3 linked regions of the Oryctolagus cuniculus genome follow. The protein of the gene in region 3 purifies or fractionates together with the protein of the main gene of each other region. This does not show direct contact. Links are inferred from orthologs where the notes say so. Each region holds a gene or a part of one and is shown on either strand. Other genes may lie near its edges. The genes, in order: TPI1, PARK7 and ENO1.

Evidence for each region.
Region 1: the proteins of ENO1 (region 3) and TPI1 fractionate together in Homo sapiens (co-fractionation; 4 studies listed by BioGRID, with this or other methods). This does not show direct contact. The link is inferred for Oryctolagus cuniculus from reciprocal best matches to the Homo sapiens genes ENO1 and TPI1.
Region 2: the proteins of ENO1 (region 3) and PARK7 fractionate together in Homo sapiens (co-fractionation; 3 studies listed by BioGRID). This does not show direct contact. The link is inferred for Oryctolagus cuniculus from reciprocal best matches to the Homo sapiens genes ENO1 and PARK7.

Annotation. Positions count from the first base shown.
Region 1 is NC_091440.1:102,652,194-102,656,587, forward strand, and holds the start of TPI1 (triosephosphate isomerase), read right to left. Parts: upstream 2,935-4,394; 5' UTR 2,673-2,934; coding exon 2,441-2,672; intron 1,371-2,440; coding exon 1,247-1,370; intron 1,132-1,246; coding exon 1,047-1,131; intron 967-1,046; coding exon 834-966; intron 544-833; coding exon 458-543; intron 189-457; coding exon 101-188; intron 1-100. Other genes in the region: USP5 (ubiquitin carboxyl-terminal hydrolase 5), read right to left, coding at 3,976-4,069. UniProt on the Homo sapiens protein: Triosephosphate isomerase is an extremely efficient metabolic enzyme that catalyzes the interconversion between dihydroxyacetone phosphate (DHAP) and D-glyceraldehyde-3-phosphate (G3P) in glycolysis and gluconeogenesis.
Region 2 is NC_091438.1:159,767,579-159,771,223, forward strand, and holds part of PARK7 (Parkinson disease protein 7), read right to left. Parts: intron 3,118-3,645; coding exon 3,016-3,117; intron 982-3,015; coding exon 922-981; intron 146-921; coding exon 76-145; intron 1-75. UniProt on the Homo sapiens protein: Multifunctional protein with controversial molecular function which plays an important role in cell protection against oxidative stress and cell death acting as oxidative stress sensor and redox-sensitive chaperone and protease.
Region 3 is NC_091438.1:159,001,218-159,003,564, reverse strand, and holds the end of ENO1 (alpha-enolase), read right to left. Parts: intron 2,251-2,347; coding exon 2,192-2,250; intron 989-2,191; coding exon 919-988; 3' UTR 608-918; downstream 1-607. UniProt on the Homo sapiens protein: Glycolytic enzyme the catalyzes the conversion of 2-phosphoglycerate to phosphoenolpyruvate. In addition to glycolysis, involved in various processes such as growth control, hypoxia tolerance and allergic responses.

The sequences.
Region 1 (4,394 bases), on a different chromosome or scaffold from region 3:
GGGAGGGGAGCAGAGAGCTTGGTTGGGATCTGCATGTCTAAGCAGGGATCAGTCTAGGCCTGAGCCCACTCCACCCAAGGCTGGAGCCGGCCCCGCTCACCTCCGTAGATGATGCGGGTACTCTGAGCCACAGCGTCAGAGACGTTGGACTTGAGCCACCCTCGGAGCTTCTCATGGACTTCCTGGGCCTGGAACAAGAAGCCAGACTAGGTAACACCCATTCCATTTCCAATGCCTCTTGCTCTAAGGAAAAACATCCCTAGCAGAGTGGAGACAGTTCATGTGGTTTCCAGGCAGGAGCCCTGGGATCTGAGTCAGGGTCCCAGGCCTTCAGTGCTAGGGAGGCCCTGCGACGGAGACCCTGGGCAACTCGATTCTCCTCATCTTTCAAACGAGGGGCTGCCCTGGGTGAATCTAATGCGAGACAGGAGAGGCCAGGGCTCCAGGGCTAGGTTACCTGTTGGGGTGTTGCAGTCTTGCCGGTTCCGATGGCCCACACAGGCTCATAGGCCAGGACAACCTTGCTCCAGTCCTTTACGTTATCTGAGGACAGAGAGCAGAGATGGAGGGAAGGGCGGGCAGGGGGAGCACCCCGCCCAGCGCCCCAGAGTATGCACAGTGATGAGGGTCTACTGCTCCCTGGTGGCTGCTGGAGGACCTCCAGGCAGCACCTAGACTTTCAGGGGGAGGAGCAGAAATGCTAAGGCCCCTGGCAAGGAATCTCTTTTCCTTTCCTGAGCCAGCATGGGGATCAAGTCAGGCCCAGGTATCTCACCCCACCCTCTGTGGCTGTGGCCCCGGACGAGGCTCGGAGGGCCCCTCCCCAGAGGTACCTGCGATGACCTTGGTTTGCTCAAACACGACCTTCTCCGTGATGCCAGCCTCCCTTTCATCCAGCTTCTCCCCGATGCAGGCAATCACACCAAGGCCCTCTGACAGGGCGTGGGCCACTTTCTGCCCAATCAGCTGTCAAGGAAAGACGTGGTGAGGCGTTCCTCATTCCTCCTGGGATAAGGCATCTCTTACCTCTTCTGCTGGCTACTAACCTCATCTGATTCCCCAAAGACATGCCTCCTCTCAGAGTGGCCCAGGACCACCCACGTGGCTCCACAGTCTTTGATCATGCCAGGGCTAAAGAAGACAGAAGGCCACCGGTCAGCAGGGAGCCACACCCTGTGGCTTTGCCCTCAATGAGCAAAGTGAGGGAGTGGTCCCCAGACTCCCCCCCTCTCTGCCTCCACCTCACCTGATCTCCCCAGTGAAGGCCCCGTTAGTCACTTTGTAGCAGTTCTGTGCAGCCACAGCAATCTTGGGATCCAGTTTCTGCCGGGCAAAGTCAATGTAGGCAGTGGGGGGTGCACAAACCACCTCTGAGGACGAGAGGGGGCACAGGATCAGATCAGAGGAAGCCTTCCCTCTGCAGACTCCTGGCCTCCTTGGTTCTGCTTCCCTCCCTCTCCACTCTAGCAAGATGACCTTTGCCCACTTCCCAGCCAGCTAGGCCTGCACCCAACTCCTGCAGCTTTCCAGATGCCCCCGTCGGGCCGCGGCCCTCACCCTGCCCTCTGCTCTTTAACAGCTGTGGCTCCAATTTCCTCAGGCTATTCTGGGCATGGGCACCTCCCAGACTCAGCATTCTCTGGGGCCAGCCCTGCCTCCCTTCTAAAATAGCCCACCCCTACTTTGCCCAGCAAGGCAAGGATTTCTTGGCAAAAGGGAAAGGGTCCAACTCCTCGGGTTTGCACTGGGGTCTTTGGGGAAGAAACCAGGAAGGGATGCCTCTTGGATGAGACCCGTGGTTCCGTGATTCGGGCGGGTGAATGGGCAAGGATGGAGGCTCGCGCTCTGCCCCTGCCGCAGGGCGCTGATGAGCTCACAGCGGCCTTGCGCTTTCCCCCTTCCAGCCTGGGGAAGGCTGTAGGCCAGCTCCTCGCTCCCAAACGGCTCGGGCCCTCCTTTGGAAAGCAGAAGCCGCTCAGGCAGCAGAGGGGAAGGGATCGGAGTGGCTGGGCGCAGAGGCCTCGGCGGGGCGGGGAGGAGTCTCGGGCTACGTGCAGCGGCGCACGGTGCCGGCGCCCAGGAGCAGGGGGCTGGAGGCCCGCGCAAGCCCAGGCCCGACCCCCGCGCGGGGGCTTGCAGCTTCCTTCTCCCTATCGCCCAGAGGCTCAAGCTCCGTTCCTACCCCCCTGAGCCTGGCTGGTGCAGCCCCAGCCCGCGCCCCGGGGCCATCTTCTCTCAGGGACCCGAGGAGTCCTTTGGGGCCCCCGCAGCCCGCGGTCACTGTGAAATGCCCCGCTTCTCCCCTTCTGGCATCGCGGCTGGCGGGCCGCTGTGCCGGGGGCCAAGGCCTGGACACCCAACCGCCCTGGTCCCCAGCCCTGCACCCAGGTCCACGCGGATGCCGGACTCCCCCAGCCCGACCCTTTCTGCGAGGCCTCACCGGTGTCGGCCGGCACCTTGGCTGCGTTCAGGGTGGTGATGAGCTCCCCCAGGTTCTTCTTCCTTCCGTTCATCTTCCAGTTGCCCCCAACGAAGAATTTCCTGGAGGGCGCCATGGCGCTCGGGCCTGCACACTGAAGGTCAGTCCCGCCGTGCGGCCGCGGCTGCGGCCGCTGCCGGCTTATATAGAAAGCCGAGAAGCGGAACTCCGCCTCCTGCCCCGTCCCCGCCATGGCGGACCCGCCCCTGCCTCTCAGCCCGCCCTCCAGCCCGCCTGCTGGCGCAGGGCTCTGACGTCGTCTCCCCTTCTCCTAGCAACATTCTGGGGGCGTCCGGGGGCTTGTTCAGGCGCTTCTGCAGAGATTGCCCGACTTCGGGAGAAAGCGGAACGGAGAACTCCTGCGACCGGGGGGACCCACTGACGACCTCAGCCGCCCAGAGGCCCAGCGGCGGCTCCAACTTGGCCTCGCTCAGACCACATTGCTCAGTGGGGCTGAGAAAAGCGCTGAGGGTGCATCTCCAGCTCTGGGACAGAGAACCCTCTGGCCCCATCAGAGCAGCTCCATCCAGCTCGTCACAGGCGCCCCAGGAGGGCTGCGGAGGCGGGGGGGGGGGGGGGAAGCCCACGCCGCCAAGAGGTGGTTTCGAAGCTGCAGTAGCCCCCACCCGCAGGGGCCCCCCGGCCCCCTCTTGGTTCTAGCTGGCCAAGGCCAGCCAGGGGCTGAGGCCCCAAGCTGAGAACCCGCTGGGCCCTGGGGGCATTTGGGGGCTGCTTGGACCCCCTTCTACGTGGCTGCCAGAAGGGCTCTTCACCCTCCTCTCCCCTTGGCTCTGCACTTGCCCATTCTCCATTTCCCCAGAGCTCTGCGACTAGAGAAAAGCAGAGCTGTCTGTGCAGCACACGGAAGGGCACGCGGCGACGAGCTCCCCCAGCTATCAGACCGGCCACAGTTTAGCCACTGTACTTTTATTCACATCGTGTATTTTGGCATTTTCCACAGAAGGACAGGGAAAAGACAGGATGGAGGACTGAGGCAGGAGGGCAAGGGGGGGTCCCCATGTCCCTCATATCCCTCCTTGCCCAACCGCACAGGGGCAAACACAAAGGGGGAGGGGAGTCACAGGCCCCCACCCCCTGGAAGGGATGCACAAGCTACACCCACACCCACCCACCCACACTCTCACGCACGGACACTCACACGCACGCACACACACAAGACCCTCCCCTCCACACCAGGGGCCTGGGCAGGGTGACACAGAGAAGCAGAGCACTGGATTCAAGGGCCGGGAAGCAACAAAGACTCTGACAGACAGGCGGGCAGCCCCCTCCTGTCCCCTCCCTGCTCTATCCCCCGAGTCTAGAGTGCCCCTCCTCTCGGCTTGGCCATGCTCCTGTGGCCTCCAGCTTTCTTCCAGCTGCTGGGGACAAAAAGAAAAAGGGTACAGAGCAGGGGGGCGCAAGTCCATCCCGCAGCCCCTGTCCCTCATGCCAGGTGGCCAGTCCCCGCCCTCAGCGTAAGGGGTGCGGGCGGGCTCTTAGCTGGCCACTCTCTGGTAGAAGTAGATGTAGCCCAGGTCCTTAGGCGGCTTCTCGGAGGCACACACTTTCTGGTCGTTGTAGATCACCCATCTGGAGGAGTAGGGGAGGCACAGAAAGGGGTGAACACACTGGGCATTCCATGTGGCATCAACTTAAGTCTCAGACACAGCCCTCACCTGGTGGGTCTGGGCAACTGTCTGCCCGGATCCCCAGTCTGCTGTCTGAGGGAGCGCTGTCTCGCAGGGCCACTTCCCCTATTTCGTGTCCTCAGATCCCCGAATCTTCACCACCACCCCCATCCCTTCTGGGGGGCAGGGGGTCAGCAGACCTCCTGTGAAGGGCCGAGGAGTGCTGCAAGCCACCTGGTTACTGACACAACTACTCAGCTTTCCTGCTGCTGTGTGACCACAGACAA
Region 2 (3,645 bases), about 770 kb from region 3:
GGACAGCACCTCCGTGCCCCCAGCTCAGCAGACCCCACAAGGAAGGGCAGGAAGGGCAGCCCCCAGGCACGGTACCTGCGCAGATGGCCGCTATGAGGCCCTTCCTCTTTTCTTGTTCCTTCAGGATCTCCTTCACGGCCGCAGACTGTCAAAGAAACCGAAACACGTCAGGCTGCCATGGGGCCGTTACACCAATCCCTTGCTTGGACACTGCGGCGGCAGAACCTCAGTTGAGCTTAGCTCACGAGACCAGCGATCTACCATCCTAGGACCACTGGTCCATCACTAACCTAACAGTGACCACATGCACGGTGTGTCTGGACCCCTGGCCCGACAGAGGGTTTGTCCTAAGGGAACCTTATCCCTCCACCTTCAAACACAGGAAGGAAAGAGCGACTTTGTTGGTTTGCCCCTTGCCTTCCTGTTTCCCAGGGTGAGAGTGGGCAGGAGGAGGCAATGTGGGGTCTGGGGCGCTTCCAGATGGCGGAGCAGTCAAGGCCAGCGGGAACACTGCTCTCCCGTCTGCTGGGCAGGCTGAGCCCCCGACAGTAGCGGTGCCAGCCCTCACGGCTCCCTGCAAACCCCAGGGTCGCGGGCGGCCGCACGGCAGTCCAGGCTGGACCCTTCGCCAACACAAAGCCCAGTGACTCTGCTGCTGGCGCGGGAAACAGGCATCTCACTGGGGGCTGCATTCACAGAACCTGTTCGTGAACAATCACTCCACCAGTTCAGTGCACTTCCACGGCAAGTATGACTAGAAATGCCGTCTGCAGTAAGGCTAGAACACGCATGTTCCTCTGGGTGGTCTCCATTTTATCCACAGCCCCTCCCTGAAATAGCTGAGCTACAATGTAACCAACAGAGTGCACACTTCCTCAGTCTTCCCGCCTGTGTCCCCAGGCCCCGCCCTGCTGCTTTTACCTCAGACAAATTCTGTGCACCCAGGTTACCTCCCGGCAGGACGACCACATCATACGGGCCCTGAAACAGTTCAAAAAGGAGAAAAAACACGGTGACAATCTAACCACGCTTTCACATTTTACACGTGGGACTCGAGCAAAATACAGGCAGGAACCTGTGTAGGTACACCTGTCAGTGGGACCACAGTGAGATAACGGTGGCCCCGACACCGCTGTCGTCAGCAGAGGACACAGGCTCCTCATGGCCGGAACACGTAAGCGTGGCCACGCTGCAGAGCGACAGGTGCGGACAGTGTCACTTGCAATCAAACACAAAAACACAGGTAACCCACATGTATGGTCAGGTCTCATGTGTGTGCACACAGGGACTCAGATAAGACACAAACACATGTAATCTATGTGTACATGTGTATGAACATGATCCACCCGCTCGCATGTGCACACAGGTGCTCATACACAAAACACGGATAAAACATGAAATAAAACATGAAGTCTTTGTGCATGCATATGAGCATGTACTATATGTGTACGTGTGTATGGACGTGACACACCTGCTCATGTGTGCACACAGGCACTCACAAAGGGATGTTCTGTGGGCTGGGTGGAGGGAGACGGGCAGGACGAGACGGGGACACCTGACACTCGGACTCTACCGTGTGAACTGTCTTCAACACGCATGTGCACAAGAGAAAATTTAAAAGGCATGGAAAAATATTTTTAACTTTATGAAAAATGGAACTTGAGGAGAAAAATGATGCGATATTTTAGTATCTCCGACACTAAAACACCTAGAGAGCTCATTAATGTCAAGCCCTGGAGACACAAAATGGAAACTGCTTGAACAACACTTGACGATGCTCAAAGTTTTAAGAAAATTGTTAGTCATTAAACAAACTACAAATGAGAACTTAGTATACACTCAGTACAACACACACTTTTTAGAACTAAGATCGTAAGCATCTTACTGTAGTTTTAAAACCAAACAAAACCCAAAAATAAAATATGTGACGTATAGAATTTTTCTGGAATCTGGAATGAACAATAAATACCTACGAAAGATACCTGCTGATGGGAATACCCGGCACGACAGGATACAAGAACACTGAGGAACAAAGCTACTTCTACTCAACAACCCAGCTGTGAGGACCAGTATTCTAACTCTTGAAACCTGGCGATGGACTACCTGAGGCCAGCTCCGCATGGAAGCAGGCCCCGCCTCCCTCCCTCCATGCAGCTGCTCCAGGAGGGCACAGCCCACCTCCTGTCCCCCGAACTGGGCAGGGAAACCAGCTCCATCGCCCTTGCAAGTTACGAACCATAATTCTAGATACTGAAAAAGTGACACAGGTTAAGCAGATCTCTTTACTTCTTCCTTAATCCCAACACTAATCAAGTCTGAGCTGCTCCACGTGAAATGAATCACAGGCCATCTGTGTCACTATAGAGAAAAAAGTAAAAGGTCGCTTAACAAAGGGGAGCAGAGAGAGGATTTAGTGCATTAAAAAGTTAGAATAGGGTGCTGGCATCGGGGCACAGCAGGCTAAGCCATGCCTGCAACGCTAGCATCCCATATCGATGCTGGTTCAAGTCCAGGCTGCTCTCCTTCCAATCCAGCTTCCTGCTAATTCACCTGGGAAGGCAATGGATGGCGGCTCAGGTCCCTGGGCCCCTGCCGCTCATATAGGAGACGGGCATGGAGTTCCGGCTTCAGCCCCAGCTGTTGCAGCCATTTGGGTAGTGGACTGGCAGATAGAAGATCTGCCTCTCTGTCTCTCCTTCTGTCACTCTGCCTTTCCAAAAACCAGAAGAGGAGGAAGGATGCCTGTGTAAGGAAAACGCTTCCTCCGGTGCCTCAGCAAGGCATCCCCCCCGCCCCCGCCCCCAACACGCCAAGCACCGTGGCATCAAGGAGTTCCACAACGACGGAGTGGAAAGGTGAAGCCCCTGCCCTCCCAGTACAGTTACTGGGAAAGACATTCAAGCAAAGTAAGTTTCTAAAGTACGTCTGTGCTACCAAGTCTTAGACGTATTCACAAGACATTTCAGGAAACTAGTAACAAAGTCAGATGAATCATTCCACAAATGGAGAACAAACCTCTTTTTTTGCATCTTCCAGACTGGCATCAGGACAAATGACAACGTCACGGCTACACTGTACAGGGTCCTTCCCAGCCAGACCGGCAACAGTGACCTTAATCTACGAGAAAGAAGTCATCACGATATTTAAGAACACCGACACATTTAGAATGACATTTTCACAGCTGCCCTACATTTTAAAATAACTTGACAGGAAATACTACAAGCCAACCACACTGAATTTGAGCTAATATGTTAGCTAAACGTATTTAATAACTAGGTCTATCCCCATTCCCTGACAGTCCCAATTTACAGCTGCTGTCCTAGCACCATGTCTGGCTGAACACCCTTTCTCCTACAAGCATTCCAGTTGGGCAATACATTATAGGACCGTCCCATTAATAACTCCTTCTAATAATCTTACAAGGTTACTATTGCCATTTAGAACTTTATGATTTCTTTTCATTTGAGATCGAGAGAGAGAGAGAGAGAGGCCACCAATCCACTGGTTCAAATGTCTAGGGGTCGGAAACTCAATCCAGGTCTCCCACATGGTGGCAAGGACCCAAGTACTTGAGCCACCACCTGCTGCCGCCTCCCAGGGCACAATAAGCAGGAAGCTGGACTGAAAGTGGGGGTGGGGCTCAAG
Region 3 (2,347 bases):
CCTAGGCCGCAGCAGGGTGGGCGGGTGGGGGCCTCGGCTGTCAGCACAGCACCCCCCCAGACTAAGGTGTCCATCCTGGAGACCCCGGAGGCCTGGCACAATCAGCCAGGTCTTAGGAGCGGGGCTGAGGTTACCTCAAGAGAAGAAACCCACCCAAGGCCTGGAGACCCTCCCCTACTGCCCTCCAGGGGTTGGGCCCCCCAACCCCTAGAAGCTGGCTCTGAGCAAACAAGCCCTGCAGGCCAGGGCAAGGGGCGCAGGGACCTCCCCTTTGTTAACCCTTCTGCGACTTGCTCTCCGCAGGGACACACCATAGTCTACTTTGCCACACGCTCAAGGGACCAGCAGCCCCACACCGAGGCTGAGCTGTAAGGGGCTGTTCACCTGTATGTTGTCCCAAATGTCTGCCCCGACGTCTCCCAGCTCGGACTCACAGAGGACGTCGCTTCCCGAGGGACACCAGTGGTCCTCCCACCTTTGACCTCAACAGCCCTTCCCGAGACCCTATGTGAAAGTCCTCTGGACCCCTCTTGTTGGCTCTGGCCATGACCGAAGCCCACCCACTCCTGCCCTGCCCACAGCCCCGCCCACACACGGCACCGTCACAGTCACTGAGGCTCTTTATTCTGCACAGATGCTGCCTGTGGGGACCTCGGAGGTGACGGGAGGAGCACGCAGCTCCCGGGCTGGCGGGAAGCAGGTGAGGAACCACGACGTACTAGAGCTGGGTTCCCAACGGGGTCCAGCTGCTCGAGCTTGGCTTCTGCCCAAGTTCTAAGAAGCGGTGGCAGGAGAGGGGAGCTAACTACCGCAGGCCCCAGCGAGCACTGGTCGGGGGCCTGGCGCTGCCGGCACCAGCGTCGGGCAGGATCCCATCAGCCGGCTGGGGCTGACGGCTCAGGCTCTCTGGGCCACAGCTTACTTAGCCAGGGGGTTTCTGAAGTTCCTGCCAGCAAACTTGGCCTTGCTGCCCAGCTCCTCTTCAATTCTGGAAAGGGAAGAGAAGAGAAAGTCAGATCTCAGTGTGGTACAAGGCTGCCCCCTACAGGTGAGGCCCGGACCTCCAATTAGTCCAGCTTCTGAGACGCTGGAACAGCCCAGCACTCTGCTGCCCCCGCCCCTCCAGGCTGCTGGACTGTGAACAGCCCAACTTTTAAATATGCAATGACAGGAGCGCCCGGCTTCTACACAGTGCCGGGAGTAAACAGGGCACAGAGACAATGGGCGGAGTGCAGACTTGGTTCTGACCTTGCAGAGCGGCTACTGATCTCGGCTATGTTAAAACGAGACCTCCCCCAAAATACATTTACAGGTAAAATGACAAAATACCCAGAATCTGTTTTGAAACGTTCCGGCAAAAATATAAAGTGCGTGGCAAGCCTCATACCCGGGGGATGGGGAAGGAGTACTTCCTGTGGTCACCCTGCTGAGCGTGTCTGGAAGCTTCCAGGAGGAAGGGACAGGACACAAGAACTTAGGAAACGGGGCAGCGGGTTAACCTGCACTGCCAGCTGCTCCAGCTCCCTAATGCACTTGGGAAAGCAGTGAAAGATGGCCCGAGTACTGGGGCCCCTGCCGCCCACGTGGGAGACCTGGATGGAGCTCCAGCATGCTGGCTTCTGCCTGGCCCAACCCCAGCCCGTGCGGCCATCTGGGGAGTGAACCAGTGGATGGGCGATCTGTTTCACCCTCTCTGTAATTCTGCCTTTCAAATAAATAAATAAATAATAAGCCTTTAAAAACTGGTAAAACTTATATGAAGTGGATGTGTTCTTCCCCCGAGTCCACAAAAGCCACTAACACAGGGCAAGTCTTCCGGGTCTAGGGGCTTGCCCAGGACACGAGCAGCCAGGAAGGGGGAACCAGACGTCTGGCACGTTGCAGGCTGCCTCACCTCCCTAAGCCCTGGTGCCCTCATCCCAAGAAAGGATCAATGAGAATCAACAAATCCTCCGCTAGCTGTGAGGCTATGGCTGACCTGCTAAGGAGTCCTGTTCTCTCACCACAAGATGGCGGCACTGCACAGAGCGGCACCTCGGGCAGCTGCTGCCAGGAGCCCTGTAGTCCACCTGACTGCTGGGCCTTGGCTCGGCGCGCCACAGCCCGACCTGTGCCCACCCCAGAGCCGGGGGTTCCTGGCGGAGGGCAGTACCCCCAGTGGCTGCCCTACGTTATCGGGAACGCTGCATACCTGAGGAGCTGGTTGTACTTGGCCAAGCGCTCAGATCGGCAAGGTGCACCAGTCTTGATCTGGAAGGAGACAACAAAGGTCAGGCTAGTTGCAGTGGATGCGGGATCTACGTGACTATCGGGCAAGCAGAGGGCACCATGGCAGAGACGGGAGTTT